Linked DNA regions of Coturnix japonica. The protein of the gene in region 1 purifies or fractionates together with the protein of each later gene. This does not show direct contact. Links are inferred from orthologs where the notes say so. Each region holds a gene or a part of one and is shown in the gene's direction. Other genes may lie near its edges.

Region 1 (4,515 bases):
AAACAGCCACGAGAACAAGCCGTGGCTCACTGAGACTTGCCAGTATTTGCACCCAATACAGATATTTGTATTTATGAAGGTATGGGCTCCAGCCTCCAGACCCAGACCTCTGGCCAGGCCCAGCTCCAATTTAATCTCCGGTGCATTCATCAAAGATTAACTTGGAGATAAGGACAGAACTAGAAATATTTGAAGCCCAAAAACCTGTTGGGGTACTTTTGTTATGGAAAGCAAAACCATCTTGAAATGTGCAAAAGAAATGTAAACGTAAAAATATAAGAAAGACAAAGTCTGGTGATCCACTGACATATTTCTGAATTCTTCCTCTTTTCGAAGTTTTGAGGTTTGAACATTATGAACAGTTGACTGTTTGAATCGTATAATGCAATACCTGTTCCTCTGGCTTAACGTTACCATATTTCCCACACCGCAGGATTGCTTCACATTATTCTAAGAGGCAGTGTCATTTTCCCTGCAGTGCTGGGTCTTCTTTACTGAGGCAAAGGACACTCCTACTTCCTTTAATTATATGTTTTGTTTTAAATTAATGTCCTTTATTCTGGGGATGAATCACCAGCTTGTAGACAGGTAAATGTGGGAGTAAGAGAGTGAAAATAAAGTTTGATTCCCAAGGTGGGTGTCTTTAATTAAAACGGACATCGAGATTCCGTCTTCCTTCCCAAACTCACCCCGCGATTCTGACAGTGCCCGGATTCCACGGTTCCGAGCACGTATCTCACTCTCTCTGAGTTTAAAGGAATGCCTTTAAACACGGTCCCCTCTGGCTTCAGACCGCGGATTCCCTGTCGCCTTTGTACCCTGACAGTTGCACGGTATCGTGCAAAGTAAATACACTGAGGCAAACTTCAGTCACGGTCCCCGCACGCAGAGATGGGGAGCGGAGCGCGGCGGCTGCTCGGCTCTGAGCTCGCTGCCGTCAGGATGCGGCCCCGGCTGCGCCCCGCTCCAAACTGCGCTCGCTCGGCTCTTGTAAAATGGTTCTGCCCGCGTCTGAATGGGACGGTTCTGCCTGACAGTGCGGTTCACTCAGTCAGGCGCTGGACGGAGAATAAGAGGATCTGTCTTCTATTTGCAGCTTTTTCCCCCGCTTTGGCAAAAGAGCTCGGAAAAACGCCTTCTGCCTCGATTTCCCCAGGGGTAAAACGGGACCCAGACGGGTTTTGCACCCAATTCTGCGCGGCACACGCGGCCCCACAGCGCCAGCCCTTGCTCTCAGACGCGAAAGGCCCGTCGCGCTGGCAAAAGAGCAGCGGCGGCACCGGAGTCCCGGACCGAGCGGTGCCCGCTTTCCCCGCAGCCGAGGGACAGGGACGGGACGGGACGGGACGGGAGGTCTCGGCCGCCCCGATGCTGGCGGCGGCGGCTCCGTGCGGTCCCTTTCCCGCACAGCTGCCCCAGGGCCCGCACCTCACCCGCACCCGCAGCCGGCGGCGTCCCGGGGGCCGGAGCGGCAGCTCCGAAGCGTGCAGCGTGGCATGCGGCCAGGCGGTGACGCGCCTGTTGCTATGGGATCCACCGCCCCTATAAATAACAGAGCGAAGGAACTTTCCTAAGTCAGAGACTTGAGGACACGGGCCCCGCAACCAGATGGTCCGCAGGAGAACCGCCAGCTCCAGCCGCAGCTCCGGGAGCGGGAGAGCCCCGCCGCGCCGCACGGACTGAGCCGCCCGGGCGGGCAGCGCAGCGGGGCCGTGCCCAGCGCCGGGCTCGGGAGACCCCCACCCGACGGCGGCCGCTCGATTCCGTGCCGGGGGGGCCCTCCGCGCCGTCTTCTCCTCCCCGCATCTCCCTTTGCTTTCATGCAACGCCTGGTGGCCTGGGACGCAGCATGCCTCCCCATTCAGCCGCCCGCCTTTAAATCCATGGAAGTGGCTAATTTCTATTACGAGGCGGACTGTCTAGCTGCTCTCAACAAGCTGCACCCGCGGGCGGCCGGGGGCCGCTCCATGACCGAGCTCACCGTAGGGGACCACGAGAGAGCCATCGACTTCAGCCCGTATCTGGACCCCTTAGCAGCATCCCAGCAGCCGGCGCAGCCGCCGCCTCCCGCAGCAGCAGCAGGGGGCAACTTTGAGCCTGCCTGCAGCAGCGGCGGCCAAGATTTCCTTTCCGATCTCTTCGCCGAGGACTATAAAGGCAGCGGCGGCGGCAAGAAGCCCGACTACACCTACATCAGCCTCGCCCGGCACGGCCACCCGTGCGGCAGCCAGAGCCACAAGCCGGGGGGGCTGCCGGGCTGCTTCCCGCCCCAGATCGTGGAGACCAAAGTGGAGCCGGTCTTCGAGACCCTGGACTCTTGCAAAGGGCCCCGTAAGGAAGAAGGGGGAGCGGGGCCGGGACCGGGGGGCATGTCCTCGCCCTACGGCAGCACCGTGCGCTCCTACCTGGGCTACCAGTCGGTGCCGAGCGGCAGCAGCGGGAACCTGTCCACCTCGTCCTCCTCCAGCCCCCCCGGCACCCCGAACCCCTCCGAGTCCTCCAAGTCGGCCGCCGGCGCCGGGAGCTACTCGGGGCCGCCGGCGGGCAAGAACAAGCCCAAGAAGTGCGTGGACAAGAACAGCGACGAGTACCAGCTGCGCCGGGAGCGCAACAACATCGCGGTGCGCAAGAGCCGCGACAAGGCCAAGCAGCGCAACCTGGAGACGCAGCAGAAGGTGCTGGAGCTGACGGCCGAGAACGAGAGGCTGCAGAAGAAGGTGGAGCAGCTCACCCGGGAGCTGAGCACCCTCAGGAACTTGTTCAAACAGCTGCCCGAGCCCCTGCTCGCCTCCTCGCCCCGCTGCTGACCCCCGCGCCGGGCCGCGGGGCGAGCTGAACGCTGCCCCCCCCCCCACATCCTCCTCCCGGGGCCGGGCCGCGTTTTCGGTTTCGTCGGGGGTTTCGTTGTTGTTGTTGTTGTTTGTTGTTGTTTCGGTCTCTATTTGCTTCCTCCCCCCGGGGCCAGGGGGCGGCGGGCGGCGCGGGGGGGGCCGCGGCCCCGGGGCTCTGCTGGGCGCTGGGGTTATTTAAAACGGCGAGAGGAGAGCGAGGGCGAAGTGATGCAATCCTTTAAGCATGGCTGGGAATGCTGTGTACATGATGCAATCTCGTGTAACTGTCAGTCATGGATTGAGTAATCTGTTAAAGATGTTCCTACAGTTTTTTTTTTTTATTATAAAGAATAATCTATTTCTATATGAAAATACATATGTATATTTTGGGATCTATGCATTCTTGCTACATTTGAAGCATTAATGAACGATTTTAATAAACTTTATGACTAGGTTAAAAAAAGTAGCTTGTTTTATTTTGAGGGTGCGTTTTGAGTCAGATGAAACGCAGGGCTGACATTCCAGCTGGATCTGGCTCGGCGCTGCCAGCAGGGATAGGACTCGCGTTGGTCTTTTGGCTTTCTCTGCGACTCAGAGAAAAACAAAAACAAAAACCCCAAGAGAAACCAGCAAAGAGCAGCGCTGGAGGCTCCAGCCAGTCCTCGCTGTCTCAGTTTGGTTCCTCTAATCACTTGCTTGAGCTGCCACTTGGGTACTGCCTGGGAAGAGGCGTTTGTTTGGGGTGGTGGTTTTTTTTTTGCATTTTTTGCTGTTCCATTTGTGCAGAGCGAGGTGTGCTGTCCAAACCGTGACCAATCTGGTGAAATAACTGCAAGGCTCAAGTGGGAGGGAGAAAGAAAAAGTGAGGGAGGAAGCTTTCACTTAATTCTTTTTTCTTCGAGGAGTTCCTGTTCTCTGAATTATGATTCAGTGTGTCTTATGTTTGTAGTTTACAGGAATAAACATGAGAAAGTAGCGCCTCTATTGGATGTCGGTAATGTGGTCACTGCCCGGAAGCTCTCGCGAAAGCCGCCAGGTGAGAGGCACATCACCAACCCCTTGACTTTCCTCTTGTGATGCTCTTCTCAAGCCTGTAGCTGGAGTTTCTCTGTTGAGAGGTGTTTGTGTGTCTGTTAGCTGGGAGAAAGCAGCTGATAAGTGAGGATGGGGCAGGCTCTGTTAGACTATAGATCAGGCTGGAGCTCTGTTCTGCCTGCTGATGGAAAGATGTGCTGCTGCCGTGCCCTTCATGCTGCTACCAGAGCTCTGTGAGCAGCTCACGGGCTGGTTATGTGCACGGAGCTGAGAGAAGGACTGGGTCTTACTCAGCATGTTCCATTTTCCTGTTAGGCCAACTTGAAGCACTATTTTAAAATCCAGATTCCCAGTGCCCCACAATAGGAACTCCTTAATCGTCTGTGCTGAGTTGAATCCAGAGGAGTTTTTATTTACCAAGAGAGTGGGTTTGAATTTGCTGCAGGCAGGGCAGGATTCCAGGACAAAGCCTGAGTCTGTCACTTATTCCCAGTGTTCCCTTTAGCAAAGTGTGTTTCCTACTGAAGGAGCTGCTGTGCGTTTTTGTCATTTGAGGTCCTATTTCTCTGGCAGGTAAAACTCCCAGAGCTCTCAGGGAGATCCGCTGTGGCCTGCTCACATAGTGCTCCTATGGAGCCGTGCAGCAGTG
Region 2 (4,249 bases), on another chromosome or scaffold:
GCTCAGACTAATGTTAGAAATCCGTGTCCTCGGTTAAATGCTCTAAGCTATCGATATGTGCCAGCTTTTCCCACTCGAGACGTGTTACCCGTTACCAAATGCAGCCCCGTGAACGCTGCAAAATGAATTAACTGCCTGAAGGGCTGATCGGGGTCTGTGCTGTAAGTGAATAAACGAGTCTCCAAGCTCTTCCCGTTCTTAGCAGGGAGACCCAAAGAGAACAAGTCTGTATGAACCGAGGATGGAGTATTATCGTATTGGATAACTCTGTGCAAATCTCTGCGAGCCTCGCGCTCTCGGATAGGTGCTTTTTTGATACGTCTATTTTCTAGCGTTTTTGGAAGGCAATTGCTGTCACTTACCGAACCAGGAAGCTGTGGGAACAAAAAAGAACAAAACAAAACCCCTTCACCACCGCCACTAACACGTTCCCCTGCCTCCTACGGGGAGTCTCCGGTTATCCCCGAAACCAGAACGACATCGCGTGCTGCGCCGTTTGAAGGGGAGAAGTTATTTATTTATTTTCAGCGTTCTGGAATTTAATTAAACGGCTCCTTCCCCGTTTCCTCGGGCTAAGAACTGAAGCCCCCCGCCCCGATACGGGGAAGCGTTTCGGGCCGTCAGCTGGAGCGGCACGGAGCGAGCGCGGGGTGGTTCGGCTTTTTTCGGGAGGGGGCGTTCAACAGTTTGGGGGCGAAAAGGGCTCCCGTTTTCTAGTCCTTTCGAAAGCCGCGCTGCCTTCACTTAGTTTGACCGTCTCCGAGCCGTGAGAAGGACTCTGATTTATGATAAAGCAGCACGGCTAAGTCCCGCACGCCTGAGAAGTCGGGACGCCCCCTGAAGTCTGTTAAAAAGAAGAAGAAAAAAAAAAAAACAAAAAAGGGAAGGGGAAAAGAAAGCGCCGTGGGAGGACGGCCCCGTGCCGGGTGCCGGGTGCCGGGCGCTGCCGTCCCGCGGGTCGCTGCCGGCACGGGGCGCTCCGCCGCTTGGGGGAGGGGGTCCCGCGGGGTCCCGGCGGCCCGGCCCGGCTCGGTGAGCTCCTGTTATGGAGAGCGAGGCCGCGCCGCCCCGCCCTCCGTGCAATGGGAAAGCCTTGCATCACCGCCTCGGGCCCCGCTGCCCCCCCGCCCGGCCGCCCGCCCTCCGGGAGCTATTAATAGCATGACATCAGCCCGGGACTCGCCGCCAGAGTAAATACCAGCTCTACCCGCTCGGCTATATAAGGGGGGTGATGCAACCGCGGCGAGAGGCAGAGGCGCGGGGAGCGCGAGCGGGCGCTGCTCTCCCGCCGGCGGAGCGGGCACGGGAGGAAGAGCGGGCGCGGCGGGGCCGGCGAACAGCCCCGGCCGGCGGCGGATCCAAGGTAGGAACCGCGGGACGGCTCCGGGGAGAGGGACGAGCCGGCAAAGCGGAGGAGCCCGCTCCCGGGGTGCGGCGGGAGCGGAGTCCCGAGCGGCTGCCCCGGGCCGGCCGTGCCGCTCGGCGCCTCGCGGGGGCGGGCAGCGCGGGGCTCGGCGCCGGGGGGATGCCGGCCGTGACCGCCCGCGCTGCCGCTCCGACCGCCGCTCCGACCGCCAACGGGGCGCCGAGGAGCGGCTGCGGGGCGCCGGGCAGCCCGCACCACCGGGAGGAAAAGCGGTAGGGACTCGCGCGGTTCTTTCTCTGTGCCGATGTCCGACACGGAGACCGGCTGCTGAAGTCTCGCCTAAGCGAGGCAGGCGTGGCTCGATAGAAAAGTTGTTAGAGAGAAGTAGCTTCCCGTTCGAAATGGGTTCTTCTGGCTTTTGAGCGGGTGGATGCCGGCGGAAAGTGGTTCGGGAGTGATGTGGGATGTCAGAAAGCTTAAGGTCAACCGGCGTGCACGGAGGTTGTGAACTGTAATTGCCCTTAATGCTGTTTAAGATTAACCTCAATGGTTATCGGCGTTTGTTGCATCAGCACCAGAGGAGAAGGAATTCATGAGAAGAAGCAAAACCGAGAGGTCAGCCGTCAGCAGCCGAGCGGAAAGACTCCGAGAAGTCGTTCGGGAATACGCATAACTAACAGAAGTGCACGGCTAGGAATCGTGTGCCGAAGCGAAAACATCGGCAGAGGAGATGGGTAGATTTGGTGAGGATGAAAAGAGCCGCTGAGAAAAGAACAAACAAAGCATAGTGACGGGAGCAGACTTGATTGAATCTACCTGAAGCCGAAGGTACCAGCAATAGCAGAAATGTTCCCCGGGGAATTGCCAAACTAAGAATAAAGTAAAGAAGCGTGAGCTCGCAGCGGGAGCAAGCTGTGCCTTTATGGGTCAGGTCTGTGAAATGTTCGACACCTTCAGTTCCAGTAACTTCAGAAGTCCTCAAAATAGACCGGAGCTGCCATCCATGTGCACGGTCTAATGAAGTAAACAGATAGGATCAGGAAGCCCAGATGTAACTGCAATTTGAGGCTAGATATCCCTATTGCTGTGCAGACCTAGGGAAGAGCGGCATGACACTCTTGAAAGCTGACAGACAGAGGAACAATTTGTGCAGAAGTTGGGAGAAGAAAGGGCAAACTGCTGCGGTTTATGTTTATTAGGAAAATCTAATCTCCATCCTCATAACGCATTTCTAAAAGTAGATCTGTTCCTCAGAAACTGGAAAACATCTACCTTTTGTTATGGAAAGCCAATCTGTTTGGCTTACTATTGGCTTCAGCACAGGCTAATTATTTTTGACATCCCTGTCACTCCCGACCACCAAAGCCGTGCACTGGAAGGAATCCTGCCATGCCATGTACCGGCCCCAGCCCCGCTGGAGAGTCAGCGTGGGGCAAGGAGCCCTGCCAGCTGTGGTGGGCTGGGGACAGGACCCCTCCAGCCTGCCTGGCCTCTGGCAGGGCCCCCGCTCCAAAGTATGGGTAAAGGGAGACGCTGTCAGGGTGCCTGGGAGGTCAACGATTCGTGCAGACAAGGGCACTGCTCTTTCTGGGCTTCCCTTCCCAGTGACAGCCTCCCTTCCATGTTTTTATAAACTGAAAGTGGATCAATAGATACCTGAGGACATTACAGTAGGGTTGCACTGGGGGTCGTGGTGCACTTAGCTCTTGTAGGAATAGCACTGCCTGGTAGATAAGAGCAACTCTCAGGCACGTTACTAAAACACGGGCATTCTTCGTTTCCTCTGGCGCTGACTTTAATTAAAGTTGACCTAAACTGAAATATAAACGAATAACCTCCCCCCCCTCCACCCTCCCACCATGCTGAGAAATGCTTGGCCCAATTAATTATTCCATGTGCTGGAGAAATGGTTTTATTGTTAATTGAAATCTCCTGGTTTGATTGAGTTATATGGAATTAAGTGTTTTGAATGAAGGCAGCAGCAGGAGAGGAGCAGACCGACGGTCAGGGAGCACAGCTCCAAATTGTGTGAACAGTGGGGGCTCAGTGTCACGGAGTCTGGCTGCTTCAGTGAGCTGAACGGCTGAGTGTTGGGAAGTGCTAAATAATGCCAGCAGTTCAGCTGGAAATCACAGGGCCTTTCTGACTCGGGGGGAAAAAAGTAACTGGTGGCTTTCTGAGATTATAGTATTAAAATGTATCGGCACTTTAAATGTGACTCATGAGCAGGGGCTTTCTGAAGAGAATTACATAAATTTCCCAAGGTCTTTCTGAATAACAAATTGTTCCTAATTATTTCCTCATATTTAACAACCAAGGGTGAAATCCTGGCCCCACTGAGGTCAACAGCAAAACTCCTTTTGATTTCAGTGGTTTCAGCGTTTCACCCCTGGGATGTGGGAAATCTTTGGCTCTTTTGTGGTCATTGAGACTCAAAGTGAGGAAACCTCTGCAGCTGGACAAGTGGTTTTCTACCTGCTGGCAGTTCACTGCCCTTGGATTTTTGTGTTTACCTCGCTTAGTGAGGAGCTGGGTTCTACTCCAATTTGCACCGATGTGGATTTACAGTATATTTTTAGATATCTCTGAGCGAAATCTATCTTCTTGTCAAGGCACGTGACCCCAACCACTTCTTGCCATGTCACAGCAGTAGCAAACAGGGAACTGCACAATTGGGGTTGTCCACGTGGAAATTTAACTTACCCACACTGCTGTCCCAAGGCAACTATTTGCTTACCTGCACTACGTTAATTACAACGACTTTGCTATCATTACAACTTTAAACAGGAATAGATTACGTGTCGTGTCATTACCAAGGGAATCCAAGACAACAAACATCTCAAAAACCTCCACAATAAGGAAAGCAGGAAAAGCAATACAGCA

The links.
Region 2: the proteins of CEBPB (region 1) and ATF3 purify together in Homo sapiens (affinity purification with western blotting; 3 studies listed by BioGRID and IntAct, with this or other methods). This does not show direct contact. The link is inferred for Coturnix japonica from reciprocal best matches to the Homo sapiens genes CEBPB and ATF3.

The regions. Positions count from the first base shown.
Region 1 is NC_029535.1:12,271,619-12,276,133, reverse strand, and holds CEBPB (CCAAT/enhancer-binding protein beta), read left to right. Parts: upstream 1-1,441; 5' UTR 1,442-1,820; coding exon 1,821-2,807; 3' UTR 2,808-3,815; downstream 3,816-4,515. UniProt on the Homo sapiens protein: Important transcription factor regulating the expression of genes involved in immune and inflammatory responses. Also plays a significant role in adipogenesis, as well as in the gluconeogenic pathway, liver regeneration, and hematopoiesis.
Region 2 is NC_029518.1:19,271,953-19,276,201, reverse strand, and holds the start of ATF3 (cyclic AMP-dependent transcription factor ATF-3), read left to right. Parts: upstream 1-1,226; 5' UTR 1,227-1,363; intron 1,364-1,693; exon of another isoform or gene 1,694-1,938; 5' UTR 1,939-2,297; intron 2,298-4,249.